Linked DNA regions of Tamandua tetradactyla. The protein of the gene in region 1 interacts with the protein of each later gene in a biochemical or structural test. Links are inferred from orthologs where the notes say so. Each region holds a gene or a part of one and is shown in the gene's direction. Other genes may lie near its edges. The genes, in order: KHDRBS1, RASA1, FGR and ITK.

The links.
Region 2: the proteins of KHDRBS1 (region 1) and RASA1 form a complex in vitro, tested with the Homo sapiens proteins (2 studies listed by BioGRID). The link is inferred for Tamandua tetradactyla from reciprocal best matches to the Homo sapiens genes KHDRBS1 and RASA1.
Region 3: of the proteins of KHDRBS1 (region 1) and FGR, one has a biochemical effect on the other in vitro, tested with the Homo sapiens proteins (2 studies listed by BioGRID, with this or other methods). The link is inferred for Tamandua tetradactyla from reciprocal best matches to the Homo sapiens genes KHDRBS1 and FGR.
Region 4: the proteins of KHDRBS1 (region 1) and ITK form a complex in vitro, tested with the Homo sapiens proteins (4 studies listed by BioGRID, with this or other methods). The link is inferred for Tamandua tetradactyla from reciprocal best matches to the Homo sapiens genes KHDRBS1 and ITK.

Annotation. Positions count from the first base shown.
Region 1 is NC_135328.1:193,833,471-193,840,530, reverse strand, and holds the start of KHDRBS1 (KH domain-containing, RNA-binding, signal transduction-associated protein 1), read left to right. Parts: upstream 1-4,053; 5' UTR 4,054-4,215; coding exon 4,216-4,597; intron 4,598-7,060. UniProt on the Homo sapiens protein: Recruited and tyrosine phosphorylated by several receptor systems, for example the T-cell, leptin and insulin receptors. Once phosphorylated, functions as an adapter protein in signal transduction cascades by binding to SH2 and SH3 domain-containing proteins.
Region 2 is NC_135347.1:44,038,702-44,046,384, reverse strand, and holds the start of RASA1 (ras GTPase-activating protein 1), read left to right. Parts: upstream 1-4,668; 5' UTR 4,669-4,756; coding exon 4,757-5,277; intron 5,278-7,683. UniProt on the Homo sapiens protein: Inhibitory regulator of the Ras-cyclic AMP pathway. Stimulates the GTPase of normal but not oncogenic Ras p21; this stimulation may be further increased in the presence of NCK1.
Region 3 is NC_135328.1:198,648,849-198,656,280, forward strand, and holds the start of FGR (tyrosine-protein kinase Fgr), read left to right. Parts: upstream 1-4,424; 5' UTR 4,425-4,604; intron 4,605-4,685; exon of another isoform or gene 4,686-4,782; intron 4,783-7,432. UniProt on the Homo sapiens protein: Non-receptor tyrosine-protein kinase that transmits signals from cell surface receptors devoid of kinase activity and contributes to the regulation of immune responses, including neutrophil, monocyte, macrophage and mast cell functions, cytoskeleton remodeling in response to extracellular stimuli, phagocytosis, cell adhesion and migration.
Region 4 is NC_135346.1:38,277,278-38,285,292, forward strand, and holds the start of ITK (tyrosine-protein kinase ITK/TSK), read left to right. Parts: upstream 1-5,005; 5' UTR 5,006-5,151; coding exon 5,152-5,289; intron 5,290-8,015. UniProt on the Homo sapiens protein: Tyrosine kinase that plays an essential role in regulation of the adaptive immune response. Regulates the development, function and differentiation of conventional T-cells and nonconventional NKT-cells.

The DNA of each region.
Region 1 (7,060 bases):
TGGACCAAGCCCCAGCCCAGGAAGGAGGAGACACTTCCAAACTGGGAGCTATGTTAAGTCACCTGGGCCCAAAAGCAGCACTGCTAGTACCTGCAGCTTGAGTTCTGTTAGAGGGGACAGTTGAGTTTCAAGGGCCTTTGAGACATCCAAATGGACATATGTCCATGATGTAATTGGCTATCAGGATCTGGAACTCATAAGTTTGGGTTGGAGATCTGAATTCCAGAGCCTTAAGTGTGGAGGACACAGTACACAGGCTCAGGGCCAAGCTCTGCTGAAATCCCATCATTTAAATGTCCTGCCCTTGCTCCACCTGGCAACTCCCCAAAGATCCAACTTCCCTAACTCATCCTGGCAGTTGGTCGGTCACTCCTTCCTGTGTGTTCCCACAGCTCTTTGTATATTCTTCTATTACCTAGCTATAGTCAGTGAAAATGATACTGCGTGGTAACTCTTGGCTTATTTATTTGTCTCCTTCACTAAACAGTGAGCTCTTCGAGGACAGGGACTCTCTCTTATTCAATGTTGACTCCCGCCCCTCCCCCCATCCCTTCTCCTCTCCCTCTATATATTTGGCACTCAGTAGGTTTAAGATTAAACAGACAAACTACACTCTTGGAAGAGAAACCCTCCTGCCCAGAGACAGAGCTATTCTCTCCTGGGAACTGGCTGTGATGCAGGGGAAGTAGATGGGGCCTGCTAGACACCCATCCATGGAGGTCACACAGGTCCAGCAACTGCAGGCAAACTTTAATCCTCCAGCCCATCCATTAGGGACTCAAGTGAAAGTGAAAGTCTGCACTAAAGTACTCAATTAATGTGTGTAGTAATAATAACAATGACCGCTATTGCTTATCAAGCACCTACTAATTGACAACCTCTATGCTAAGTGCTTTACAGACACTATCTCTTTTAATCCTAATAGCTCTGAGATAGGTATTGTTATTACCCCTTGTTTTCTGAAGGAGGAGGAAGCAGAGGCTGAGCAAGGTGATGTAACTTGCTCGGTCACCAGCATGCAAAAGGTAGAGGCACAATTCGGACCTAGTTCCGTTTGAATCATGGCATTCTCAGTTGTTCCTGCATATTCCACCACAGTAACTGGGCGGGGAAAAGAAACTTGGTCTTCTTGCTTGGCCTTCCCCTTCCAAAACAAAGCCTAGCTATAGTCAGTGAAAACGATACAGATTACACACTACGCCTTTCAGACCCAGAACCAACATAAAGTACCCAAAAATCTTCATTAGGCACAAACTGTCATAAGAATAATGAGGTGTCAGGAGGTTAACACTGGTGTTGTTGATGTGCACAGGAACCCTGTGAGGCAGATGCCATGCATGACCCTCACGTTACAGGACACAAAGGCTCAGAGAGGTTGTGATTTTCCTAATGACATACAGCATTTTCCTAATGACAAAGCGTCGCTGGATTTCAGTTTGTCTACCTCACTCCAAAGTCAGAGTCTTTTGACTCTTTTGATTCTGATCAACACAAAATGAACTTCAGACCTCTGGGCCTTCAGGACAGGATTACTCTTTCCTAATCCCAGGAAGAGCCCCACAAAAGGAAGACAGCCGCATCACTTGGTAAAAATAAGGACACGGCAGCATCAATAACCTCGTCTCAGATTACCTTTTGTGCTTCTCACCAGAAAAGCATACCCCATCCCACCCTCCAGAGAAGGTAAGGGTTTGGCAGCCACAGGAAAGGCTGTTGATTCTAGTCTGGAAAACCCACAGATAACACACTACCCAGCTTCTTCTCAGACCCTTCTTTATAAAAGTTTTATTAGTTATCTCAAGGTACCTCCATTTGGGCATCTCATTACAGCACAGGGACACTTCAGCCATTTGTAGTCCACCACCCAAGCAGGATTTTCAATGATGGTGGGAGAAATGAGTTACAAGGGAGCTATAATTTCTCCTGGCTCCTTTTCTGCTCCTCCATGCAATAGCTCCCTAGACCCACCTATTCCTTTACAGTACACAATTGGATTACCCCCATTCCTGAATGCATCTCTGGCACTCTCATCTCTGCTCATTTACTCACAATTCTCTTTACCCAGAACTCATCCTCCCCTAGTTGAAATCTATCTTCTCCTACTTTGAACTTCATTAGCACTAAATTTTCACTTATATTTAGCACTTGTTACATTTATATTTTGCATTGCAATTATTCAAAAATGTTCTCTCTTTTTTCTTCTACTTGGCTGTAAACCACCTGAGGACAACGGCCACTTTTTTTTTTTGGAGGGGGGGTGGTGCATGGTCCGAGAATCGAACCTGGGTCTCCTGCATGAAAGGTGGGCATTCTAACCACTGAACTACCCATGCACCCCAAAAGCCACTTCTTATATGACATCAAAGAAAAGTATTGCTCCCGACACTGAAGTTAAAAAAAATATTGGGGCCTAGAGTCTAATGGGGGGGGAGGGTAAGACTGGTAAGATAATTTATGGAGATTTGTGTTTTGTTCTCATTTCTGAAGGTAATTTCTCTCTCCCACCCCCAAGAAGGTAGTCAGGCCTTTATGTTCCCTAGTTGAATGCTTTTACCTCTCATATCCAAAAATCAATAGTTTCCAGGCACCCTGAAAATAATTTCCAGAAACATCTTTGAAAAGGGTAGGCTCATTAGGGGAAATGATCCAAAGGGAAAAGAAATTGAGTGCCGTCAATGGGAGAAGTGAAAATCTGTGGATGGAAGGAAAAGTTAGAGAAATCACCAGATTTTTGAGGGGATATGGGAAAATAAAGACAGGCTCTGCTTGCATATAACACCCCAGGATGAGAATGTTGTGGGATTGATTGTGATAATGGATGCACAACTATAAGATGATACTGTGAACCACTGATTGTACACTTTGAATTATTATACAGTATGTGAATATATCTCAGTAAAATTGCATTTTAAAAACAACAACTCCTATATAAGACAACTGGCCCATTTAGTGGGGGAAAACCTAGGCATTAGATCAAAAAGGAGAAAAATTTGATCTGTTCCATCTAATTAAATTATCATGGAAGAAAAAAAAAAAAAGATGCCGTCGGAGAATGTCCTCTTCGTATCTTGGCCTTCAGAGCAGTGGCAAGGGTTTGTCTCTTTCAGCAAGTATGGAACAATCTATAGTGAGGGGCCCAACGAAGACAAGAGCAATAACACTCAAAACCACTTGGTGTGTATATGTTAGAAACACTTAACCAGCAGGAATCAGTACTATATGTAAGAGCTAAAATGTTTCTTTTAAGAAAACATCTCTGAACAACAGTGGCTAATGTTTCAATGTCTACTATATTGGAAATCACAGGATATGAATTCTCTCGTTTCCTGGATTGGGGCTGGGGTCCTTTTCTTTGCTAGGCCTCCGATCTGTACCTTCACTCTTAATTCAAATCCTCCAGATTTCAAGGTTTCCACAGCGCCGTTCTCCCTCTTTCTGCCTCCAAACCTTCCTTCCCCATTTCCATTCCTCATAGCTGCTCGAGACTTTAACTTATCTTCCCCTCCTCATCCCTGTCTCCTGGTGCCCTACCTCTTCCCCTTTCCCTACTCCAGGCAGCCTCTCTCCCTTCTCTTCCTGCCCAGGCAGCCTCGATTCTCTCTTCTTCGTCTTCACCAGTCCCTCAACCCAGGTCTCCTCTCATTTCCTCCCTTCAGCGAACCCCCTGCACCCCACCCCCACCCCCAAGTCCACCCTATTGAGCGCAGATTAGCCGTTGGAGGGGGCGTAGCCTCGCAAGTAACAGGCCTCCTGCCCCACACTCCGCCCCCCCGCCCGCAGACAAAGACATTCCATAGTCCCCGCCCCCTTCGCTCTGTCGATCTGAAGGGGGAGGAGACACGTGTCCCGCTAGGGTCGAGTCACGTGGCAAAGAAACCTAACGAAGCCCGCGGCGACCTGCGCATGCGCAAAAAGCTTAGGCCTGTCGAACTCGGAGGGAAAAGGGAAATGGGGAGGAGACTTCTTCGAGCGCTGCAGTGGTGCGCAGGCGCCATGGCCCAATTGGGGACTTTGTTCTCCGCGGAGAAACCCAAGGGCGGTGCCGGTGACTGGCTGCGCACGCGCGCCGTCTCATTTCCGGTGCTCTCTTTCGCTGGGTCGCTCGGGTCGGCTTCGGTCGCTGTCGCTCCCGCTCTCCCACCTCCGCCAACCGCCGCTAGGGCCTCTGCTGTTGCCGCGTCGCTTCCTCGATCCTTCGACTACACAGCCTCCCAGATGCAGCGCCGGGACGACCCCGCCGCGCGCATGATCCGGTCCTCGGGCCGCAGTGGCTCCATGGACCCCTCAGGAGCCCACTCCTCAGTGCGTCAGGCACCGTCTCGGCAGCCTCCGCTCTCTCACCGGTCCCGGGGAGGCGGAGGAGGATCCCGGGGAGCCGCCCGGGCCTCGCCCGCCACGCAGCCGCCACCGTTGCTGCCGCCCTCGGCCACGGGTCCCGACGCGACAGTGGGCGGTCCAGCGCCGACCCCTCTGCTGCCCCCTTCAGCTACTGCCTCGGTCAAGATGGAGCCGGAGAACAAGTACCTGCCTGAACTCATGGCCGAGAAGGACTCGCTCGATCCTTCCTTTACTCATGCCATGCAGTTGCTGACGGCAGGTAAGCGGACCGCTCGGGTCCCTCTGGGTCACCCGGCCACCCAGTGGCGTGGGTGGCAGCGGCTTTGTTCCTCTCGCTTCCCGCGCCTCCGGGACCGAGACGGTCGTGGACCCTTCTTCCCCTTTCATCCTCGTCCTCCGTATAGCTGGATTCCAAATTCCTCTCCTTGCTCGGGGTGCGAGGGAGAATTTCTGCGATGGAGGTTCGAAGGCGGCTCGGCGATCTCTTAGCGCAGAGATCTTGATGGATGGTGCTGAGTTCCCCGCCTCTTTCCTAACCCTCCTCCCTCCCACCTCTTGCAGCTGCCCCGCGCTCCAAGTGTTCAGCTTCTTCCAGAAATGAATGTGTATCTCCCGATTCCCCCACGGGGAAAACCTTTTCGATGGCTGGTGGTGGTACGCGTCTCAACTGAGAGCATAGGAAATGAAGACTGAACCCGAGCGAGGAGGGACTGTGGGAGGCCGAGGTGTGGTTCAGGTTGAGGCTGGAGTGCCCTGTCCAGCGCGCCGCCAACGCTAGGGCTGGGTGGGTCTTGGTGGTGACTGAAGATTGAGTTGCCCAGAGGTTGTAGCTAGCGACCAGTGAGGGTCGGAACTTGAGGTTTTCGGAAACAAATCTCCGAGTTAGGTCGATAAAATGATTGTTACAGAGCTGGAAGATTGGTGACCTTAGTTTTACAACGTGTGTTCACTCTCATCATTCAAGAAAGGGAAAAATAGCCCTATAGACAGTGGTATGGGATGATAGAGGAAGGTAAGGGACACCAGGGTGGTTTGCCAAACATTTCCGAAGAAGATGGACAATTATAGATTATTGAGATAAGTTGCGCGATGGTTGTACCTAAAAGGCTTGTGAGTGGTTTTTTTTTTTTCCTTCTTTTTGCTTCAGTAGTGAAATAGAGATTAGGAATGTTAGTCTTTGTTCTCTGTAGACTAGCTCTCCTTTTCTGATCAGCACTGACCAATCCCCTTGTCGCTGTGATTTCTTCCCAAAGCCGGCTGTTTTACCTTAGCTTCTAGTTAAAATATTATTTTAATAGGTATTTCTTACGGTACCTAAATTTTATTAAGCAAGTAAAATTTTACAGCGTTCGACACTGAATGAGTAGTTAGATGATTATAAATGAAATGATCCCTTTGTTCTCTTATCTCCCAACATTGATAAGGGGTCTTTACTTTTAAACACAAAAAGCAAAGCTCCCAGTGGTCAAGAATAAAATATTTGATAAAACTGTTGACGCTTTTCAACTCAGTGCTTTACTGTTCTGAAATTCTTTCGGATTGTTTGGAACATTACTACTATTCCTTGTGTTCTTCTAGCAAGCTCTTTGAGGCCAAGGACTGCTTTTTCTTTTTCTTTTTCACACTGCCTTGCATATTGCAAACACCAAGTGTTTGGTTGAACCTGGTAACATGTACTTGCAGGCTAAGTGGTAAAGGTTGATTTAGTTTAATTTTATTTCCCCAAATCTTTAAATTCAGTCCACCTTAAATGCATCAGAAGAAAATAACAAGCTTTAGAACATTAAGGTGTTGGAACCAGTTTAAAATTCTACCCACAATTAGTTATGTGTTCTTGGGAAGTTTTCTCAGCCTTAATAACCTCATCTGTAAAGTGGGAATGATAAATTACGAGGAGTAAATGATGTGTAAAAGCACTAGCACAGTTTCCTTTGGCCTATAATCATTAAGTAATAAATTGTCATCACACTTGTCTTCTAGTTATAAATCCATGGTACTGAATAAGATATGAAAACTAAAGATATTTTCTGACCTTTTGGAGTGTCCAGTGTGATGTTCATGTTTTAAGTTAAAAAAAAAAAGGTTTCTTAGGATAATCATTTAAAAATACTGATCCTTAAAAGTTAAAATTTTCACCCTCCCCTCACTGCTTAATTTCTGTTATCCAAGAGCATGCTCTTTAATTTTTTTGGTATTGGCTATGCCCTTTTTTTTTTAACCAAATTGAAATTTTTATTTGGAGAAATGGAATTGATGTGATGTTGGCTCAAAGAGAGAACAGAATTGAAATACTGGATACCTCTTAGCATGTATAAGTCTTGATATATGATGGGCCTGACTTTTGTGGTATTTCTGAATGATTTGGAAAAAAAGTTGCAGTGAAGTCACAATCAACTTCAAGAAAATGAGACTGAGGAGACAGTATTTTAGCACTGATGAGGACACATGTTAAGTGCCGGGCACTGGTCTGAGTTCCTTACATTAAATGTTTAATCTTCAGGATCACACTATGAGGAAGTTACTCTTAACCTTATTTTCACAGATGAGGAAACTGAAGCATATAGAGATGAAATAGTTTACCCAAGGAAAGTTAATAAGTAACAGAGCTAGGATTTAAACTTATTCTGAGTTTGGATCCACACACCTACTCCACCACCCCCACCTGCACCAAACTGTACTTAAAAATTAAGCCCTAAACAATTAAAAAAAAGAATTAAGCCCT
Region 2 (7,683 bases), on another chromosome or scaffold:
TTCGTACACTCCTATCCTTGTTTCAAGTTTCTTTTGCCTAAAGGGCAAATCCTGGGAGGAGGGGCACGCTGTAGAGGAGTTTCCCAAGTCAGTCTTTCCCAGACAGAAGTTCAGGAACATACAAAGGGAATGCCTGCCAGCTCCAAACTGCCATTTAGAGAGTTGAGGGAGGGGCAGGGAAGGGCACCAGGAGCTTCTCCCATGGCTCCCCAAAGCTGTGCTCTTTACTTGGCCTGCAGATGCAGACCTTCAACTGTCCTCCACAGCTTTGAGGAAGTATACTGCCTTAAAATTCCCTCCACTGCCTTTGTTCAGGGCACACTGGAACAACGGTCACCCTTAGAACTGGGCCCCCAGAGATCCGAAGTAGTTAATAAAATGTTGTGATAAACCATTGGCCTGTGCACACCCTAGATTTTGGCGAAGTAGATTTTTATGTCCCTTTCTGGCACCAGAAAGTTATGCAGGGACTGCACCCCACTGTTGCCTGCTATGAGAGTTGGGGATGGATGCTGGTAACTGCCATGGAGAACATTTTTCAGGTATCTGAGTATAATTCAGCAGCCTCTTCCTCCTGCTCTTCGGTGGATACAGTACAGTGCTTTACTGGACTGCTGAGTTTCAGAATAGCTGATTCAGACAGCTGCTGCCTGTTTAACAGTTTTTCTCATGGATGGACTGATTCCTGGAGCTTAATATTCTGCCATCATCCTACAGTCCTCCTTTTGAGAACTTTAAGGTCAACAAATGCAATGGGAATATTACAAATTAGGAGTAAAAGCTTCTTTTCAAAATTATTGCATCAGTGAAACATTTTTACACTATTTAGATAAAATTGGAAGCCTATTTATACATCTGAGTATGCATTAGGGCATGGAACGAAATATTATTTCTTGCTCAGTCTTCCAGTCAAATCTACTTATGTATTTGCTCTAAATCCCTCGAGGCTGTATGAAACAATGTTATATCACTAACTCAGAATTACCTTTTCTCATACTTAGGGTATAAAAACTGCAAAATATTTTGTAGTATATCATGTTCATATTTGAGTTGCCAATAAATAAAGAATGAGCCAGCTTCATTTTCTAAAAAATTAAATTTTCAATGTCTTTTCACCCACAAGTTTTTGCCCAGAATTTTTGATTACTTATTCTTCATCAAAAACCATATTTCAGTATCTACAGTAACTTTTCCAAAATCGCAGCTATTACAGATTATTTTATTAAACTTAAAAAGCTATTTTGAATTTTTCCCCGTATTCTTTTGAATATTGTTTTCAGTACCTCCTGTTTAATACTCTCTGTGCACTTACTTAACAGACTGTTTACTTCCTTTCGTTTACTGACATTGTATAAGAGCACACCTAGCACCCCAATTCCTACAGAATCCCTGCAATGTCTATTAAAATATTAAAATATAAAAAATATTTTAATAGATTTTTCATAGTATTTAAAAAAAATGTCTGCAGTTTTGGACTCATGAAACACATAAAGTATATCTATCAGAAAGTTTAGGGGGTTGAGAGGAAAGGGAGCGATAAGTAGGAATTAGGGGAGAAATCAGTAGGAAAAAAGAGAACATAAGCATATAAATCAGAGAAAGGCAGAAGGTCAAGGTGAGGAGAAAAAGGAAAAAAGTAACAAAGATAAAGGAGGCAGGAATATCACACTCTTTCAAAAGAAATTAGAAGTCATTAAAGGTAGAAGACTCATTTGATATTAAGGAAGTATATAACAATAGTAAAACCAAGGCCTAAATCTGTCCAATAATAAGAATATATAAAATATTTGGAAAATACCTCGTCAAAAAATGCGTGGGATGAAAAGGACAGTGCCAACTATAAAGCTAAACGTAAACTAGGTAAGATATGGGTACTAGGTTATTTACAAAAAGACTTAGAACATCCTTGCTAGTAGTTGAGAAATTGATTTCCAAAGATGTGAGCTGATCAAATAATCTAGTATTTGTTATGTGAATGGAGATCTTTTCAAAGCAGTGTGTTGGGGCTGCCTAACACTGGCTTTAACTGTTTAGAAAACAGTTTAAGCTAGTATATAATTGGTGTTAGATTGTATAAAACACAGGCTTTAATTGCTAACGAATTTTCAAAAAGCAGAAGCAATTCTACAAATTAGGGGAGTGAGCCTGACCTGGGCTCTCAGACATAATACACATGGTGTAGGATCACTTAGAGATGATCACTTTTAATTAAGAGAAAGTGTTGGAGGAGAAGGATGCTAAGACACTGTAGCTCTTCAAGAAAAGGTTACATGGAAACTTGCTGCGGATTCATACATTAGGACTTAGGCGGATTCATACATTAGGACTTAGGTGAAATATATATTTCCCTGATCTCTTCTAACTTTGAGGCTCTAAGTCTAAATAAAAGGAAGACTATTCTCAGAAAGGCCACCAGACATAGTCATTTATTATTTCCTTCAGCGTTATGGAACTACTACGTTCTGGTCTTTTTTGTTCCTAACCTCCTTTTTTAGAATAGTTAGCAACCCAATACCCAACTCTCTTACCCACCCTCTAATGAACGTCATTGAATCTGCTTCCTCCTGTATTCTTTCTTTCAAAACGTTTTTAGGTATTGCATACCTCATTCATGACTAGCATACTATACTCAAGTGCAGTAGTTCTTAAACTTTTAAGTTTAAAAATCACTTGGAGGATTCCTTAAAACACAGACTCCAAGGCTCTATCAACCACAGTTTCTGATTCAGAGGGCCTGGGGTGGGGACCTAGAATTTGCATTTCTAAGTTCCTTGGAAATAATTGATCAGAAGCGACCCCTTGATAACTACAGCTCTGGGGTCTAGTCCCTCCTCACTCTCTCAGCTGGTACACTGGAGAAAAAGTAAGCATAATGGCACTCAGGACTATTATAATCAAGAGCTTGCTTACCAATGACTTGGTAAACAGGCTTACACAAATTCTAAAATCAAAGAAAAGTCTTGAGTATGCCTTGTCATTTAAGTAGCTTTTTCCCTTTTTCTCTGGCTTCTATATTGGTTTGATCATCCTTAGCAGAGAAATATCGATTTCAAAGGCCAATATTCAATGATATTCAGTGTGGTAGCCCTCCTGGGGGGAATTTAAAAGACAAGAAAAATACATGAATCCCAAACAGCAAACTACCTCCACATATATGAAGCAAGTTTATTGTTAACTTTTAAAGTTATATATAACTTGCACTCTGGGATCTACTTGACATTTGCCTTGTGGAAGGATCCCAGTCATTCATGTATGCACTGCAGGACATGCCCTGCAGTCTTCTGCAGGCGGAACACGGACACAAGCGCATTGATTAGCGGAGGCTGCGGCCCCTCTCCTGTCCCACCCCTCCTCAGTCCCTAACAGACCTGCAGCAGCACAGGTAAACCCCAGTGTCTGGGTGACACGGTCGGTTAAGAAAACAAAACCTTCACATACACTGGTAGAAGTCGGACTTCACTACCGGTATTTCTACCAAAATTTTCCACCTTCCCCGTTTGGTCCCCTTTATCTTTTTCGCTTTTTCCTGAATTACAGAATTTTTTTTTTTTTTTTTAGTTTGTAATAGTCATATTTTAATTTACATCATTCAACGAAAATAAACTATGGACAGTCCTGCCTCGGCCTTCGCCGCAGCCACCCGCCCGTCCACTGCTGAGCCCCGGCTCCGCTGGCTAAGGCCGCTTGTTTTCTACCGGTCCAGAAGGAAGGAACTGACTCCTCCGCATCTTCCTTTGTCCTTCCCCATTCCTTCCTCTCTACCGCAAGCTCGTCCCTCTCGTCTCTCCGGTTTCCACGGCGTTCACCGGCAGGTGCTCAGGTACCCTCCCCCTGGCCTCCCGCGGTCCCCGGGGACCGCACCGGCCTGCCTTCGCGCCGCCGTCCCGTCCGGCAAGAGGTGCAGCAAGGACAGGACACCCGCCGCCGGGGGACAAGGACAGGCGAAAGCGCCAGGCTGCCCCGCGCCGGGACCGGGGGAAGACAACGAGCCAGGGCGCGCGCCGCACGCTCCCGCCGCTTCCTTCCCTCCCCTCTCCACTCGTCCTTCCCTTCCTCCAGCCCCGGGCTCGCGCGTGCGTACAGACTGGCCTCGCCTCCCTCCGACCCCGCCCTTCCTCCCCCCCGCCGCCCCGCCCCCGCCGCCCCGCCTTCCTTTCTCTCGTTCGGGTTTAGATAACTGTGAGCTCGCGGTGGCGAGCAGCTGCGCCGGTTTCTCCACCACCCCGCCCCCCTCTCTCCGCCTCTCCACACCCCTCCCATCTCCAGCCCCGCGGAGGATGAAGCGGCTGCAGTGGCCCCAGCCCGGGCAGCGGCACCGGCGGTGGCTGCGGTGGGGGTGGCCGGAACTCGGGTGGTGAAGAGGCGGTGGCGGCGGCGGCGGCGGCGGCTCAAGGAGCGGCGGCCGCCCCAGCCGCTTTCCTGTGCTCCCCTTCCTCTTTAGTGCAGTCAGGAAGTTTTTCGCTTCTGTGCATGTGTGTGTGTGCGTGTGTGGGTGTGTGAGGTGAAGGTTTGGGCGGCATTTGTGCAGGCGTTGGATTTTTTGCCCACTTCGCTTCCCGTAACCCGGGCAGCCTCGGAGCCTGGGCTGTGGCCCGAGGAGGGGGCGCGGCGGCGGGCTCCCTCCTTTTGTTGTTGTTTCCTCCGCCTGGGGAGCTGAAGAGGGGACGCGCCTGGGTGGGGTGACTCGGAGCCCGGGCCTGCTGGCCCCCGGGGCTCCCGGGCGGGCAGGGTAGGGCCGAGTAGAGCGGGCTTCAACATGATGGCGGCCGAGGCCGGGAACGAGGAGGGCGGTCCGGTGACCGCCGGGGCAGGAGGAGGCGGCGGGGCTGCGGGCTCCAGCGCCTATCCGGCAGTGTGTCGGGTGAAGATACCCGCGGCCTTGCCGGTAACAGCCGTGCCCTACCCTGGGCTGGCCGAAGCCGGAGTGGCCGGGACTCTGGGTGGTGGAGCTGCTTTGGCATCAGGGTTCCTAGGAGTCGGTTCCGTGGCGGGAGTCCTGGGGGGAGCCGGACTGACAGGGGGAGGTGCTGTTGCTGGCGTGGCTGGTGCTGCTGCTGCTGCCGGACCTGGTGGGGACATGGCTCTCACCAGAGGGATCCCTTCGTTGCCTGCCGAGACCCTCGGGCCAGGAGGAGGATTCCCCCCTCTGCCGCCCCCTCCTCCGTTCCCCTCCCTGGGCGCGGGCCTGGGAACAGTGGACGAAGGTGATTCTCTGGATGGACCAGAATACGAGGAGGAAGAAGTGGCCATCCCCCTGACTGCTCCTCCAACTAACCAGTAAGTCAAAACTGCTGCTCAAGGAACCAGGAAAGCTGGCTCTAAGAAAGAAGTGGGGCATGCAGAGGGAAACCTGTCTTGTTCTTTCAGCTGTTATTTGTTTTGAAAAAAAGTTTTGAAGCTTCAGGTTCCATGTGCGGGGATTTAATTTGATCACTCATCTTCCCTACAGGCACGCTCCCTGGCGTCTTCGTGTGTTTATTGCTCCTCTGGGAAGATGTAAAGTTTTTAAGATGGGAAGCTTTGGAAAATGTGTATTCAGTGAGAACCGGATATGGTTCTACCCCTTCCAAATTCAGGTGGTGGACTGGGATTCAGCTGAGATTGCAGCTACCAAGGCAGTCATTGTCTGTATTAGCCTGCGTATGTGTTCTCTGCTGAAGTTGGATGATTAGTGAGAATACTTGAATTACAAGTATTTAAGTATTGGGTTAAAATCATTTGAAAAATGCATGAGTCAGAATGTTTTGTTTTTGTTGTACTGCAAATCCTAATTTTTGTCTATTGGAAAAATAAAGTCTTTGAACCACTTATGAAAACCTGTGTCAGAGAGAAGCAGGAAAGGAGTTTTGTGAATTACAGGTGTGGTTAAGTGTCCACACTCTAAAAATGTCTGTAACTTGTTCTATTGAATTGGTATTTATTAATATTAGTAATTCTTTAATAGCTGAATAAGTGCAGTGCTGAAGCAAGACAGAATTAATAGTGCTTCCCCTTTAACCCTTTGTTGGTGGTCATTTTAGTATTGTATTTGAAAATTGTTTGACATTCTACTGCAGAGTATATAGGACAAACGACTTTTTAAAAAGTCATTACCCATCTTGTTCTTTTCTTAAATGGACTTAGGTGTGTATTTATAAAAATGGATGTTGATGAGAGGAAAATGTTGACATGGGAAGTGGTGATAGGTAAAACTTGTTTATGGATCCCTGACATTAGTCTTAATTGACATTTAGAATTTTAAAAATTTGGTATCAGAAGAAAAAAGACTTAGTTCAGATGTTGATAATCACTGGACAGTTGAAAGTGTTTTGAATAAGCTTCTTTAAAGGATTTAGAAAGGACTTAAAAACTGATTAGGAAAAGATTCTGTAATAATAATCCATATTTTGACTTAAGGCTACATCTTTTGATGTTTAAGGTACAAAAGTAAAGTTATGCCAGCTATAGTATGGGGATGTTGTATTCCCTTTATATTAATGCAAAGTTCATTTGTCCTGTCATTTTATTCCAATTTATTTATCCTATCTATGTATTACAGACTTTTCTGAGGCTATTAAATTTGTAATTTTATAGCAGTACTTGCAAATTTCCAATTTTTGTTGTAAAAATCAGTCAGTTGAATATTTGAGTGTCCACTAAGTGCTTGGCATGGTAGTTAACAATAAAGTGCAGTTTTTCATACTGAAAGAATCTACAGAATCTAGTCTTATGCTGTTTCACAGCTAAATTGAATTAGGCGTATTTTTGATATTATAGTTCTAAATTTTCAGTAAACGTAAACGTATTTAATAGTAAACATAGAACATGTTTGTGAGAAGTCTGTTGTGTGAGATTTCTATCCTTATATGTGTTCCGGAGTAAAAATGTTAATAGGGCTATATTTATGAGAATTTTTCATGTTCTAAAAAGTATCCCATTTCTACTATGTTTTAAAAATTTGCCACTGAGGAGTACAAATTTCCTTTTTTTCTTTATCTTAGATATCAACTCAGTCACTGGAGGCAATACAGTATAGTGGTTAAGCTTGCAAATTCTGAAGTTAGACAACATTTGGGTTGGAATCCTGACTGCCGCTTAGTAGCTGTGTGATCTTGGAAAGGTCAGTTTCCTCATTTGTAGAATGAGGATAATAGTGGTACCTCCCCTGTAAGGTCATTTTGAAGATTTAATGAGAAACCTGAAAGTATTCAACACAGTGTTTGGCATATAGTAAGTGTTCAGTAAATAATCCCTGCAAATTACAATAGTATAATTTAATCATTATATTGCCTATTAATTCTTTTGTTAAAGGGATTCCCTTATTAATAGCTGTTTTAGAGAAGGTATTTTCTCCATTTTTTTTTGCATGGGCAGGCGCCAGGAATCCAACCCAGGTCTCCGGCATGGCAGGCGAGAATTCTGCCACTGAGCCACTGTTGCCACCACCCTTAGAGAATGTTTTTTGATTTCCAAAAACTTATACTATGTGCTATAAGTTTACCGTGATTACTTATATTAACATTTTTTTTAGCTTAATAAAGGCTTCCAGGAATAGGTTAAGCAATTTCAGTGGTGACGTTCAAGTGTTTTCTATAAGCTCCTATTTTTAAATTGAAGAGGAGAAAAGTCTTAACTTAGTTAAAAATGTCAAATCTTTTGAAAAAATACTGAAGAAATATTTTTAGACTAAATTAATATTTGATT
Region 3 (7,432 bases), about 4.8 Mb from region 1:
CCCAAACAAAATTTATTCTTTCTTTCATTTCTGTTTTCATCCAGCAATGATCAAGCACCTATCAGGTGCCTGGCACTAGCAAGCTGCTGGAAGACTTGTAGTTAACAAAGGCCCTGCCCTAGTGGAATTTGCAGTCTAAAAGGGAGAAAAACACATCAGCTAATACACATATGTATTAAGTATAGCTGGGGTTTTTTTTCTCCAAAAGAAACTCTAGCTAAGGTTAACACATTGTATTTGGTGGTGATGTCTCTTTGGTCTCTTTTAATACAGGTCATGCCCCATCCTGCCTTCTTTTTTTTTTAGGACAGCAACTTTTATAAGTGCCCAGGCTAATTATCTTGTAGAACATCCCCCACTGAGACCTTGTAGTGCCATTTAACTTATTCCTCTAATCCCTGCATTTCTTATAATTGGAAGGTAGTTATAGAGGAGGGGTTGGCAAACTTTTTCTGTAAAGGCCAGAGACTTAATACTTTTGGCTTTGCAAACCTTATAGTCACATTGCAACTACCTATTGTATCAGTATGTATCAGCATAACGGCAGCAATACCCAATGTGTAAATGGAGCATGACTATGTTCCAATAAAACTTTATTTATGCACACTGAAATCTGAATTCATCATAATTCGAACATGTCACGAAATAGTATTCTTCTTTTGAATTTTTTGCAATGATTTAAAAACGTTAAAGCCGTTCTTAGCTCATGGGTTGTTCAAAAACAGGCAGCCGGATAGATTTAGCCTGTAGTTTGCCAACTCCTGGTCAGAGACTTGATTGGATTTAGGCTAAATATTTATGGCAAGAATTTTCCATGGTAATATTGTGGGCTTCACAGCCATCATATGAGGAGGCACATACTGCCGATTGAGCACCAGCTGTGGGGTATCCACCAGGTCTCTCTATTGAAAAGGAACATTTTCTTCTTTACAAATAGCAAGTCATCTGTGTGGTATTACTTGGGCACTGTGAGAACATTCTGTTCCTTAAAGCCTTTCACCTGTGGTTTCAGCATCATTGACGATTCTTGTCTAAATCAATTATTTCACTGGGTTTGCAGAATTGAGTTTTTCAAATTCTATCTTTGGTAGGAAGCATTCTTCTACAAAGAACCTTCCATTATCAAGGAGGAATGAACCACCATTCCGCCTGAAAAAGGCAGGATAAATGCTTACTTTTCTAAGGGAAGGTTTCTTGTTTTGTTATTTTTGTTTTAAGTGAGAGATTCTAGTCTAGAACATGTTCATATGTTGAGCAGGTAATTCCATGGAGAGGGACAAGTGGATGGTGCAGGAGAGGTGATTACAGAAGGCATGAAGTCTTCAAGAAGGTGAGAGGGTTTAGAATCCAAGTGGAGAAGAAGTTGGGGAACATAAGAAAGGGTGTGAACTGTTCATCTGGGGAGAGATATAGGGACAGCTTACTAAGAGGAGTTCAGTTTAGGCTGTGACTTAATGAACCTGTCTCCCTGGGGTGTGATTTTCTCCTCCACACTGAGAGAAGTTGAATGGCAGGATTCCTGCAGGCCTGGAGTTTTCCAAGCAAGTTCAGTAGAGGCAGGAAGAGACAAGGAAAGACAAAATATTTGCAAAGGAAGACTGTAAAGACTGATGATGGAATCTAAGCTGGTTAAAAATAGGAGAGTGATGGCCTGATGGGAAAATGAATGGAAGATTCCAATGGGCTTGTGAGCTTTGGTTTTTGGTTTTGGTATCAGTTGTCAGATTTCTGTTAAAGGAGCATGTAATTATGGGGAATGATAGGAGACTTTGGCCAGAGAGTAGGGCGTTTGAACAGGCCACTCCTGTAGCCTCTTTGCACTGTATCCACCCATATTCTGTGCAAACAGGGAGCGTCTGAGGCCAAGGAATGAACCATATTCATATCTAAGCTTCCAACGCTCAGAAAAAGGCCTGACCCAGAATAGGTTTGAGTGAAGGTTTGAGGTCTGATCAATTGAATAAATGATAGCAAGCACATATATGTACTGAGCACTAGTCTAACACTTAGTGAATTCTCCCAAGACTCCTATAATGTGGGTTCTACTATTATCTCCATTTTACAGATGAGAAAACTGAGGCACAGAAAGGTGAAATAACTTCTCTAAGTTCACAGAGCTAGCAAGAGGCAGAGTTCACCTACAGCTGGGCAGTCTGGGCCCAGAGTCTATGTTTCTCACCACTAGGTTACTCTGAATGGATGGATGAGGGTCAGAGAATCCTCCTGTCCCTATTTCAAATGGTACAGATGTGTCCGGACGTCAGAGCCCTGATCTGGGCAAGGGAAGTTCAGGGACGGGAGGAGGTGGCCTAACCCCAGGAGACATCAGACAATAAGTAATAAGCAGAAATACATAATTCCAATCGCCATGAAGGAGACAAACAGGGTGCTGAGACCAAGAATGGAGGTGGCAGATCCTTAGATGGAGTCATCAGGGATGGCTTCTCTGAGGAGGTGACACTTTAGATAAAGGACAGAAAGGAGCCGGTATTATGAAGAGCAAGGAGAAGCATGTCTCAGAAAGTGGAAACAGCATGAGAGAAGGTTTTGAAGCTCAATGTAGTCTAGGAACTACACAGTGTAGCTGGAGAGGGAGCTGGCCCAAGGTGGGACTGGAGAGGTGGGCAGAGACCAGACAGAACCTGGGAAGCCGTGGGAAGGAGTTTAAGTTTAATTAAAATAAAAAAAAATTTATTGATATATAGTCACACACCAAATTTAATTATTTTTATCATTGTTTTATTTCATTTTTGTTATTCCAAGACAAATGGGAGATAAGCTATTGGAGGGACTATTTAATATTTGAGCAAGGGACTGAAGGTACATCTTACCTTCAATTATTTGCTCTTTCATTGGGCTTTCATCTGTTCACCCATTAATTCCTTTGTTCCTTGATGGATTCATGCATTCCTATGTCCAGAGAGCCTGCTGCTCTGGGCCAGCCACCGCATGGGCACTGGGGGCGCTGGAAAGAGCCAGACCCAGTCCTTGCCCTTGAGGAAAACACATCCCCACACATCCATTCCCCAAGAACTAGTCATACATACTGGTAGAAGGCACTGAGTGCCCTGTTGGAGAGGGGAACCGGAATCAGGGAAGGCCTCCTGGGGAGGCGCCTGTGAGTTAGACCTTGGAGGATGACAGAAGTAAATGAGAGCAACTGGGGGCTCTCCCAGGAGCAGGGACCAGTGTCTTTCACCGGTGCTCCCTAAGGCTGGCACCTGCCAGGGAATGCTAAATGTTTGTTAACTGAACATGTGGACCAAAGGCCAGCCAGGGAGTGCTGGATGGTGGAGATGATGCTGGCCAGCCAGCGCGAGACCACCCTTCCGAAGCCCCTGCCCCCCCACCCCAACCAGCTCCCTTGTGTCATCTTCCCCATCCCTCCTCCCGTTTCCCTACGAGAAAAGTACACCTACCTGCATCCCACTACTCTCTGCCACTCTGTGAGAACCCATCGCACAGACATCTGAGCCCACCCCCTCTCAGGCTTCTGAACCCTCCCCTGCCCGTACACAGAAACACACGATTCCGAAGAATACGCCCTGCGGTTGGTTCCAAAACTGCATCCATCGTGTTCATTGCCTACAATTGTACACACACGCATGCACATGCATATGCACATATACACGCTTCTGTGTTTACACACCCTCCCTTCCTTCCCACTGCATCCCAACACGTGCACACTTCTCCATCAAACAACCCTCCTCCCCATACATCTTCCTCCCCACCGGAAGAATTTTTTTCTAGGCCTTAGTTTAAGACTAAGGAAGTAACAGCTGTGGGAAGGGGAATTGACCCCCAAGTTGAGGAGGGGTCAGCGATCCCTACCAGCCTCAAAGGCTGATAGAAGATGGTCTCTGTTTCTCTAAGACTTGGGCAAGGGGAGGGCTGACACCCTTCCTCCTTCATTGTGACCCGAAGGCAAATTTTCTCTGAAATGTAGTTTCCCCAGGGAAGGTTCTTGGTCTACTCCCCAACCTCCCGCATCCCTGTGCCCCAGTGCCCAGGGCCCTGAAGGAGGCAAGGCAGGTGATGGACTCACAATGGCTCTTACATTTCCAGGTCAACTGGCTGTGAAAGTTTGGGTCAGACCTGTCTCCATCTGGGCCTCAATGGACAGAGAGGGCAGTGGGTTCAGTGATAGAGAAAAGTGCTTTCTAACCTCAAATCTAATGATTCTAAGAAAGCAGGTGCCTTGCGGGGGGGGGGGGGGGGGGGAGGGGTTCTTTGGGAAGGTGGTACTGGGGGCTTAGGCGGGGTGTGGGGTGGGGGACAGGGCTGGGGTGCTGGGAGAGGGCTGGGAGGGCCGATCCCTGGTCACCCCGGGGAGGTGGGAAGTGGGGCCGGGCGAGCCTAGGATCTGAGGGCCCCTTCCCCCCCCCCCCCCCCCCCCCCGCGCGGGCAGCTGGTTCGAGGCCGGGGCGTGACTGAGAGCTGTCCCCGCCGCCGCCGCCACCGCTGCGAGAAGAGAAGTCCGAAGCGGCTTCCTCCTCCCAGCCAGAGCCCGCGGCCGGCAGAGGCAAGCAGGACCCGGGTTCCGCCCCCGCGTCGGCCTCGCTGCGGCCGGGAGCCCCGCTGGATCGCCCCGGGGACGGGCACAGGTAGGCAGGTGGGGGGCTGGGAGGCGCAGCGCCGTGCCCCGCCCCCGGCCCGGCCCGGCCCGGCGACAGGGGCCTGGGGGAGCGAGCCTGGGAGCCTTAGGGTGGACAGCTGAAGAGACTTGGACCAAGAGGCTCCCGCTCAGAGAAGGGTCTGGGAAGAACTCAGGAGACCTGGAGAGTGAGACTGGATGCAAGTTGTGGAGGGGAACAGGGGAGGATTAAGAGGGTTCCCCAAAAAGGTCTGCTGGGGAAAGGGAAGGGGACCTGTGGAGTAAGTTTGATCGAAATTGGAAAAAGGGCTAAGAGAGTCGGGGCATGGGGAGTAAGGGGACCTCCCCAAAAATGGTCTGGAGGAGAACTGAAGGGACCTTGAGAGTGAGAATTTGTGGGGAAACTGAGGAGTCTAGGGAAGGGGAGCTAGGCGGGGGGACTGGAAGGGTCAGGTGAGGCAGTTTGCAGGAAAGAAGGGTCAAGGAGAACCATTTCTGGGGGACTCAGAATGTATGACGCAATTGTGGGGGCCCAGGAGATCCCCGATCGCCAACTGACAGAAGCCCGGGGTGAAGCCTGTGGCTTGGGGGGGGGTGGGGGGGCAGGCGGCCAGGAACGAAGCTCCCCCTCCCCCTAGACTCTCCCTCCCCGCCGGGTGGGAGGACCCGGGCCAGCGAGGAGACGCCTCTAGGCTCTAGAGGCGCGGGTCCCCTCTTCCTGGGGAAGTCCCCGCCCTCGGCAAGTCAGGCCTCTCTGGGTACCCGCCCCCCCGCAGTGGCGGGCTCTGTCCGCGTTCCCCTCGGGATCCGGGAATTGCTGGCCGCCCCGACGGAAATCCTGCCTTTGACCGTGATTGCCCGGAGGGGCTGTCTCCATGGCAACGCCAGGGAGGAGAGGCAGAGCCGGGCTCTTGGCAAATGCTGGTCTCCTTACTGGAGCAGCCCCTTCTGTCCTCATCACCTCCTGACTTCTGGGACCCCAGGCAGGGGCCGTTCGCCGGACAGAGGAGTGAGGCCCTGATGCACATCGTTCAGGGATCCTTCAGGGAAAACCTGCAGAGACCTGGGTTCTTAGCTAGTCTGGGCCTTTCTTTCATTGCTGTGTGACTTTGGGCAAGTTACCGGGCTCCTCTGGGCCTCACTTTCTGCATTTGAACAGTGGGGAGAAATGATCTCTGCCCCTATCCCCTATACCTGAATCTGTGTGAATCGGGTACAGAAATCAGTTTGGCTGAGTGTCCTGGGGAGCTTACAGGCCCTCGCTGACCCAGCTAGCCTCTCCTGCGCCTTCTCGACGGCACAGAGGGGGCCAGGAAGCCTGGGTCTCACTGATAGGGCCCCCAGGCACCAGCACACAGTTAGTATCTTATAAATAAGTAAGTGTCTGTGCATGTGTGGAGGGCCCACCGTGCGGAGTCACTGGGGGTGAGATCTGCCCCCACACCCAGCCAGCCTTCCCCTGGGTCATGGAGTCTCTCAGGGATCCCGAGGCCCTTGGCATCCTTCAGTCTGGTGGTGGGTGGGAGAGCAAGGCCCTGTTCCAACTTCACAGATGGGAAGATGGAAATTTGGGAGGCAGCGAACGACAGGGCCAGCCATTGGGAGTGGACTCCAGGGCCTCTTTCGCTTGTGACAAAGGGGTTCCCACCTAATCCCTGCCAAGTCCCATGTAGCCCTCTGGAGAGGGGTAGGGGTGGACACGGGAGTGGGCGCAGGGGGCTGTGTGTATCGGTGCTCTCTCCTGCTTTCCAGGGGGCGAGAAGCTGTGAGTGAGGGCGTGAGGGTGTGAGGGTGTGAATTTGATTCGGGCTCTGAGCAAATGAGCATGAGCATGTGAGTGAGCCCGTGTGGGTGTTTAGGAGTTCTCAGCAGCCACCTGGGGCCAATGAGGCAAAGGAAGTGGTCAGACCCTGGGGGGTGGGCTGAGCAGGAGACCCCAGAGTTGGGGAAGGAGGTGCCAGGGTCCTTCCTGAACAGAGCGGACAGGGAAGGGTGCCCCCCCCCCCCCCCAGGACTCGCAAGGGGACTTCCTTTCTGGCCACAATGTGGAATCTAAACTCTCATCTCCTCAGCTTCCCCAGAACATCCATGGGCTCCCATCTCCTGTGAATTCTGAGTCCCAGGCCAGGTGGGAGCTGAACTCAGACTCCTGTTTTAGAGGCTGGTGGGTTTTCAGAGACAGATGGGAAACCACTTTTACTCCCAAGTAGAGAAAACTCAGCTGGTACCTTCAGGACCATGTGGAGGAAAAAGCTGGTGTGGCACGTATCTGCCACCCCCACTCCCCACCCCCATCACATGCACCTGGCCCCACTAGGGTAGTAAAGTCAGAGTAGGGCCTTTCTGCTAGGGCCCGTGAGTGTTTGGGGTGGGGTGCCGGTGGGGGTGGGTGCTGTGAGGCCTCCAGAAAAGATAGTGTTCAATAAGAGGGATGGAGGTTCAGTGAGAGGTGGCGACCTTAATAAGAGGGATAAGGGCTCAGAAAGGGCCTGGGGTTCAGTGAGGAGTGGTGAGAGAACCCTTCCTTCATCAGGTCAGGTCTTAGTGAGGGGTGGGGCACAGAGGGGCTGGGGGTGGCCTGCAGATCTTAGAATTGCTTCCTGCCCCTCCAACCCTGGCCTGCCTCCTGCCCAGCCCAGAACCCTGAGGAGAAGCCGGAACTCTTGCAGGATGGTGGTTTCCTGCCACTGCCCCAAGTCCCAGTTCCCTTTTGGTGAAATCCCCCAGGCAGCTAAGCCAACTCAGCCCTCCCCACTGCACCCTGGGAACTTCTCTTTCTTCTCAGCCCGGCCCCACAGGCCATCCCCTCCACCCTGCCTTGGAGGGGTCTTGTTTAGG
Region 4 (8,015 bases), on another chromosome or scaffold:
CGTTTTTTTTTTGTTTTTTTTTGTTTTTTTTTGTCCCAGTTTACCACTTTATGTTTTCCACATCTGTTGTCAGGAAATATGCCTTTCTCTTGTTCAATTGTATTCTGGTTCTTATATGAATTAAAGAGTAGAGTAGTACATTGAGGATACAAGTGCTATTGGGTTTTGCATTTACTCTTTTAGTTACCCCTTCTGATAATCTTCATTTCTTTCCACTACTCCAAGCCGTGCTCTCCTGTCTTTTCCTTTCAACCTGCAGAACTCCCATCAGTAATTCTTGTAGGGCAGGTTTCATTTTGATGATCTCTCTCAGTGTCTGTTTATCTGTGAACATTTTAAACTCTTCATCATTTTTGAAGGAAATTTTTGCTGGATAAAGGACTTTGGCTGACAATTTTTCTCTTTTGATGCCTTAAATATATCACACCGCTGCCTTCTTGCCTCCCTGGTTTCTGCTGAGAAATTGGTACTTAGTCTTATTGAGGAGCGCTTGTATGTGGTGAAGCACTTTTCTCTTGCTGCGTTCCGAATTCTGTCTTTCTCTTTGCCATTTGACATTCTGATTAGTATGTGTCTGAGAAAGTCAATTAGGATTTATTCTGTTTGGAGTATGCTCAGCTTTTTGGACATGTATATGTATGTCTTTCATAAGAGTTGGGTGATTTCTTTACCATTATTTCCTCAAATATTTTTTCTGACCCTGTTCCCTTCTCTTCTCCTTCTCGAACACCCATGGCACATGAGTCCGTGCACTTCATGCTATCACTCAAATCCCTGAGACACTGCTCAGTTTTTTCCTATTCTCTTCTCTGTCTGTTCTGACTGCATGATTTTGATTGTTTTGTCTTTTGCTGATTCTTTCTTTTGCTTGTTCAAATCTTCTATGGTATGCCTCATGTGTATTTTTGTCTGCTATTTTAGCTTTTATTCCCCTAATTTCTGTTATGTTTCTTTTAATATATTCAAATCCTTCTTTATGCTTACACATTGTCTTCTTAATATCCCTCATGTCTTTCTGTATATTTTCCTTCATCTCCTTGAATTGATTTAGGTGATTTATTTGAACATCTTTGATTAGATTTCCAATTTCTGAGTCTTTCAAGTTTTAATTTTTTCCCATGATTGAGCCATGGCTTTCTGTTTCTTAGCATGGCTTGTAATTTTTTGCTGATGTCTAGGCATCTGCTGATTTTGATGAGTTAACGCTGAAGTTAATTTCTCCGTCTTGTCTAGGGTTTTATTGTTGTTTGGCTTTATGTTAAGATCTTTTTTTTTTTTTTTTTTTGATGGTTGGTCTAATTTATTCTAGACCTTTAGTATAGCCCATGTCTAAATGTTCACATTTTCCAAATTCTTCTTCCTCTTATTCTTGCCCTAGATATGTGGTACCCTTTTGTGTGTGTGTGTGTGTGGTACACTTTTTAAGATTACAGTTTTTGTGCAGTTGTTTTACTTCCAGGAGAGAGTTTCCATTCCTCTGTTCCTTCTACAGGAATTTTGATTTGTTCTGTTTGTTTTTATGCAGACTTTTTCTCCCTGCTCCTATTAAATTCTCTCCCTCACTCAGTGCCCCATTTTCCTTACACAATTCAATTCAATCTTACAGCAGTTCAATTTAACCCCTCATTATTTTTCTATGAGGCTTTTTTTTTTTTGCTTCTGGTTTCTTCCCCATTAAGGTATCCTAACCCAGAGAGCCAAATGCATCAATCCAGAAAGGTGGGTCACTTCTAAAAAGTCCATTTTGCCATAGGTGATCCAGTAAGCTGAAACTAGATTGAGTAAGGACACAGCAGTTCCTACCAGCCTTTCCATTGTGGTCTCTCTTACTCATTTTTCCTTTGCTCCTGGGGGCCCTCTTGTATACAGCACTCCTCAAGGTTTGTGTTCCACCTTGGGTCTGCACACTTAGGTCTTGGGTGCCTGGATATATGTGGAGTTCTAACTCACTGCTCTGAGTCATTCTATAGTCTCAGTCCATGCGGGGAAGGACCCAGGCAGGATGCTTCCATATGTCTCACAAGCTGTATGGGAACCAAGTAACCAAGTGACATCCACGAGGGAATTCTCCTACCTGAGATCTTTCTGTTTCTTTGATTCAGCATCTGTGGGGTCTTTCTCGAGTCTCTACCATCCTCCAGAGTTCTAAGCAATTATAAACTTGTCCCTTTAGTCGCTAAATCTCAGTTAAGCCTTTTTCAGGGGGTGTCTTACATATTGATAATATTGATGATGTCACCATAAATATCCTTCATTCCTTTTTAAGGCTGAATAATATTCCATTGTAGGTATATAACATTTTATTTATCCATTTATCCATTGATGGACATTTGGGTTGTTTCCACATTTAGGCCACTGTGAATAATGTCGCTATGAACAGTAGTTACAAGTATCTTTTTGAGAACCTGTTTCCCCCAGTTCTTTGGGGTGTATACCTAGGATGGGAATTGATGAGTCACATGGTATCTAACGCTAAGTATTTGATCATCAAACTGAGATAGAGCTCTTCAGAAAAATCAGAATACACGTTTTATTCTTTCCTGTTGTTTTACAATCTTCAGAATAACAAACTGGTTCCCTAGCATCCTCCAAAAGTGATCAGTGGGTTGGGATGTTTTTTCAAGAATCTTTTGAACTCATGAACTCAAGATTTTAACATTTTTGATGCTCTTCAAATCATTACTGTTTTATTATCACTATTTTTGATGCCCAGTGTGTTCCATCCTTGGTCAGTGGGGGTTCCTTGAATTTGGCTCCGGTGAACTGGACTTTTAAAACCAAAGCAGGGAGGGCCACGGTGGCTCAGCAGGCAGAGTACTCACCTGCCATGCTGGAGACCCGGGTTTGATTCCTGGTGCCTGCCCATGCAAAAAAAAAAAAAACACCCAAAGCAAAGGGACTATTTCTTTCCACATTTTCCTGAAAGCCATGGGAAGAATCTTGGGCTGGCCAAAGAGGGCTATTTAGTAGTGAGCAAAGACCAACTCAGTGAGTGAATTTATTGGCTCTATAAGAAACACCCAAAATTATTTGTGATTGTACTCCATGGAGACGATAAATGAAAACCTTTTATTGCAATCAGCTACCAATAATATTTTGCTTTCTCAGATGAGAATACTTGTGGGAAGTCCGTAAATCTTTTAAGCTAAATCAACCAAACATAAATCTATACCCCACCCCCACCACACAAAGGAGTTTATACTCCAGCTTGGGAAGATAGCATTGTATTAGATAGAATTGGTTTTCTGCTAGTAACAGAACCTCAAAGTAACAGGGACTTACAAAATAGAAGTTTATTTCTCATTATGTTAAAAAATGTAACCCAGGGCCATCATGGAGGATTGAGGGTCATCAGGAGCCCAGGTTGTTTCTATCTTATGTCCTATTGTCCTCAATGTGCAATTTCCATCTCATGATATAAGATAGCTGCTCCAACTCCAGCCATCACATTCACATTCTAATCAGCAGGAAGGAGGAGAAAGGAGAAAGGAAATGTTATGACCTCTTTCATGAAGTTCATGCTCACTATTTTCACTCTGTACCACTGGTCACAACACAGTTGTATGACTACAACAAGATATAAGGGATGCTACAAAATGTTTTCTTTATTTTGGCTGGCCAGATGCTCAGCTAACCTTCAGGGATTCAGTTTTCCAGGTAGAATGAGAGAGCAGATATTTTAGGAAAAATGAAATCCCTGCCTCTAGTCCATACTCAGAAAAAAATATTACTATTACAAGGCAGTGCTTTTCCACACATATGTTCCAAAATCTGAGAACAGGGAGAGGTCGTTTAAAGTACCCCCCAACCTTTTTCTCCCAAAGTTTCTTGATTATGCTGGGGCACTCAGCATGTAAAACAAAATTAGATCGTAGTATACTTATTTTATGTTAACAAAGTAAGCTTTAGAGAATTTCCCTCCTATATAGCAGTAATGATTCTTTTGTTTCATTATTTATTCTTGTTCAATACTTGCCATTTCCGCTTACATTGAGATTTCTTGATTATTTATTTCAGGCTGAAAATTGGGCTCACATACTACACTTCAACTATGTACTAACTCTAAGTTAGTGACTAGCACCCACTATTTACAGAGCTTATGTGATTAAGTTTTCAAAAGGACCTCATAGAGAGATGAAGGACCAGAGAAGGAAAGCAGCTTGCTTGACGAAATACAGCTTAGTAAGCAACAGAGCTGGGATTCCAACACAAATTTGTTTGTTTTCAGAGCCCATACATGCTTTGTTTAGTATGCCACCCTGAAAGATTTACTTACTTTCTGCTCTTCCACTAAGTTTATGAACGGAAAAGTAAAATCTTGTACCTGTGAGACAGAGAAACTTCTATGGGCTTTCATTTAAATTTTTAAAAATATATTTCGAGTACTTACTATATGCTGGGCATTATGCCAAGTGTTATATGCTAATTATTTCTTTTAATTATCCAACTTATGTTGCTGATTATTCATTCAATAAATTTTTATTAAGCATCCCTTTTATGTGCCAGGCTCTAACGTGGATGCTGGAGGCATAAAGGGTGAGTAAAAGCAAATAGAGTCTTTGCCCATCATGGAGCTTTTAGACTAATGGCGGAGACAAGCATCAATTAGCGATTCACACTCTCCTCAAATGTACGCTCTCAACCGTGATGAGGGGTATAAAGAGAAACCTATAAGGTGCCACATGTGTATTATTAGAGGATTTGACTTAGGAAAGCCAGGAAACTAATATGAAACAATGCCCCAGGGATTGCAATGCCCACGTTCTGAGCCCTGGTACCATATGCCTCAACTGTCAGATGGCCTAAACCAGGAACTGTAAAGATTAGACTCTAAGCTTTCCTATGCTTAATATCATTTTGAGGCTACAGTTCTTCAAATATCATTTCCAAAAGGTGTATGTGTATACCATTTTTTTTGCATGTGTCTCTTAATTTTGTGACTTTGAAAGGATGTGGTTGTGGCCTCTGACATCAGAGGGGAAGCTCTGTGAGGCTGACTGAACTGATAGAAAGATAAGGTTGGAGGCAAGTTGCCTTTGAACAACTCGGAAGATCAACTGCCTCCCCATCGCATTCCTTGCCCCCAAGCTGTTTCTTCGGGTTGTTTTAAGGGGTGATGCCCAAAGCGCATCACTTTTCAAGAACTTAATCATGAACAACTTTATCCTCCTGGAAGAACAGCTAATCAAGAAATCCCAACAGAAGAGGAGAACGTCGCCTTCCAACTTTAAAGTCCGCTTCTTTGTTTTAACCAAAGCTAGCCTGGCATATTTTGAGGACCGTCATGGGGTACGTGAGCACTTTGCTTTGTCTCTTTTTATATTTGGGTTGGGCTTGTTTGTTGAACTATACATGGAATAAAATACAACAACTTTAAATGCACAATAAGAGGAATCAGAAAGGAATGTGGAAGGGAGTCAAGAGTTGAGGTGGTTGGAGTATGTGATTACACGTCTAAAATCTATGCAACTATCAGTTTCATATTCATCAGCTTTTTAATCTTGCAATACAAAATTTAATTTCAAACTTATAGCATTTTACGTGGCAAACATTATGATTTGATAGAGTTTGAACTTCTTTGAAATATACTATGTCTTATGGGACATTGATTAATAAAATAATAGCTTTCAGTGGGACCATGGGATACTAGCCCAGTTTCCTTATTCTGCAATGGGGGAAACTGGTGCTGGTTAAGTGATGAGTTCTGTGTCAACAACATTTTTGTAAATTCAACTCTATTTGTCTCAATGGTCCTCACTTACCTGACACTTAGAATAAAATGCCCTGGGAATTTAATTGTCTACAATATCATCTGAAATTTGCAAGGTACAGTGACAATCCTCTTAAACTTCTGAAAACTTCTCAGGTGACCAGGTTTATTAGGCACAGAGTGTCCTATAGTGCAGAGCAGTGGTTGGTTCTTAGCCAGAAGATTCAGATGCTTAGCTAAGTCAGCCTTTTATGTATCTAAAGATATTCCCATATTCAGTAACATAATAAGTGCCACAGGAATACACATAACAATGCCATTTGGTAGAAAAAGTACTAGACGAGGGGTCAGGAGAAAAGTCTATCTTCCCAGGCCTAAGATTCTTTCTTTAGGAAATGAAAGGACTGGAACTAATGACATACAAGAGCTCTTCCTTCTTTAAAAATACCTTTGTTTCTCTGAAGCAACAGTCGTTTTAATGCTTCACAGCAATTTTTCAAAGCAGTTTTGATTTCTTACTGTATCATTTTATTATTTCCCCATTACTATGGAGGTAGAGCAGAGGTTATTACTTCTCTTTTACTGAAGGGGAAATAACGTCAACTGCTTGATGGTCTGAAGAGAAAAAGCTGCACTGATTCCTTGCTGAGATCTGTCTTAGTAAGTGCACACATGAGGTTGGGGTCTCTTGAAGGCCAGGCTTTGAAGTGTTTGTTGAAATGGAGTTCTGAATGAGTCAAGGCTGGGCAACAGTGCCCTTTAAGTTGCAAATAAAATAATACTGCCTCTTCTTTAGAGGGTGAAAGATTTGCTCATATCCTTTTCACAAAACTAGATACAAGCCATTCAGTAGACTCTTATTGTTAAACATCAACCAATTAATCAGGAAACACATGGCAGTCAATTATTATATACAAGATGGCTTTTGTCGGTGCTTAATAAACATTCGTTGACTAAATTAATACAGGGCCAGTAGCCAAGTTTTGAACTTGGGTGATTCATCATCTAAAGCATTGGTCAGTTTTCTTCAGGTGAATGAGACATGGAAAGTTCTTTTTCCACCTTGAAAGCAGGCATCTGCCTTTAAATATTGTTTTTCAAAACCTATTGAACAGTTTCACATATATTTTTTTCCTAACCCAACAATTTCCTAGCAGCATGTTGTTTGTAAACTATGTTATAAATTCAGTATGATATTATTTGCAAATAATCACACAACCAAATGGCCTTTATTCTGATTTTGTGGGTTGTAATTTGCCTTTAGAGAATGTTGGATAATCACTCTGCTTCTTTCATCAGAGCCTTATGAAAAATTCCAGGACAATTCATTCCAGGGCCTTGGGGGAGCCTTGGGCTATAGTTTCTAAAGCTTCCCTATGGGATATAAAGGATATACACACAAACCAAATTTCTTGTTTTTTAATGTTTATGGTTTATATTCATAAATAATTTTTTAAAAGCAACATTGAATTTCTTTGTGTTATAGAAATTTATTGATTAGAAATTTATGCAAGTTCACCGAGGAGGGTAGGATATATAAATTATTATTGATCATGCCCTATGTATGTCCCATTGTTTAGAATCAGATTTGTTGGCAAGAGTGCACTGTGCATCACCTAGAATAACCATTGCATTACACTTATGGAAAGAACCTTTGTCTTTTTAAATTAAAGCTTCAGTCTTCTCATCTGTATAATGGGTACGATAATAGTACCCACCTCCTGAAGAAGTGGTAAAGACTGAGAGACAACCTATTTATGGCAAACTATTTGAAATGATACATTTGTAGCTCAAGAACAATCAGATGTTGGCAGTTCAGTATGGTTCAATGTAACATATAGAGTACTTAGCATACAGTCTGTCACCTAATCAGCACCTGGTAAGGACTGGCTCTCATTTGCAGCATCATATCTCTGAAGGAGCTAGCAGGGCAGGATAACATATTTTCTTTCTAACAAAAGGAAATACAAAAGAATTCTTCAAAGTCAAGCTAAGACCAGATTAGTCCTAGATTCCTTCTCTTCTGGGATAAATATAAGTTTGTGGGGAGAAATGTGTATGCTTCATGAGCTATGTGACGGGACACTGGGCCAGCCACTGCCCATCTCACCACCTCAGCTCCTTTCACTATCTCATTTGTAAATTTATGTCTTGAAGCTTAACATTCTGCAATCCTATGACACTATATGCCAAATAGCCCTGCTTTTTACTGAAGAAGAAATTGTTATTCTGCAGATTAATTGTTTTTATTTCTTGCTTTTAATAGCCATGCCTAATGTCATTATAATACTGCTTGAAAGACTCT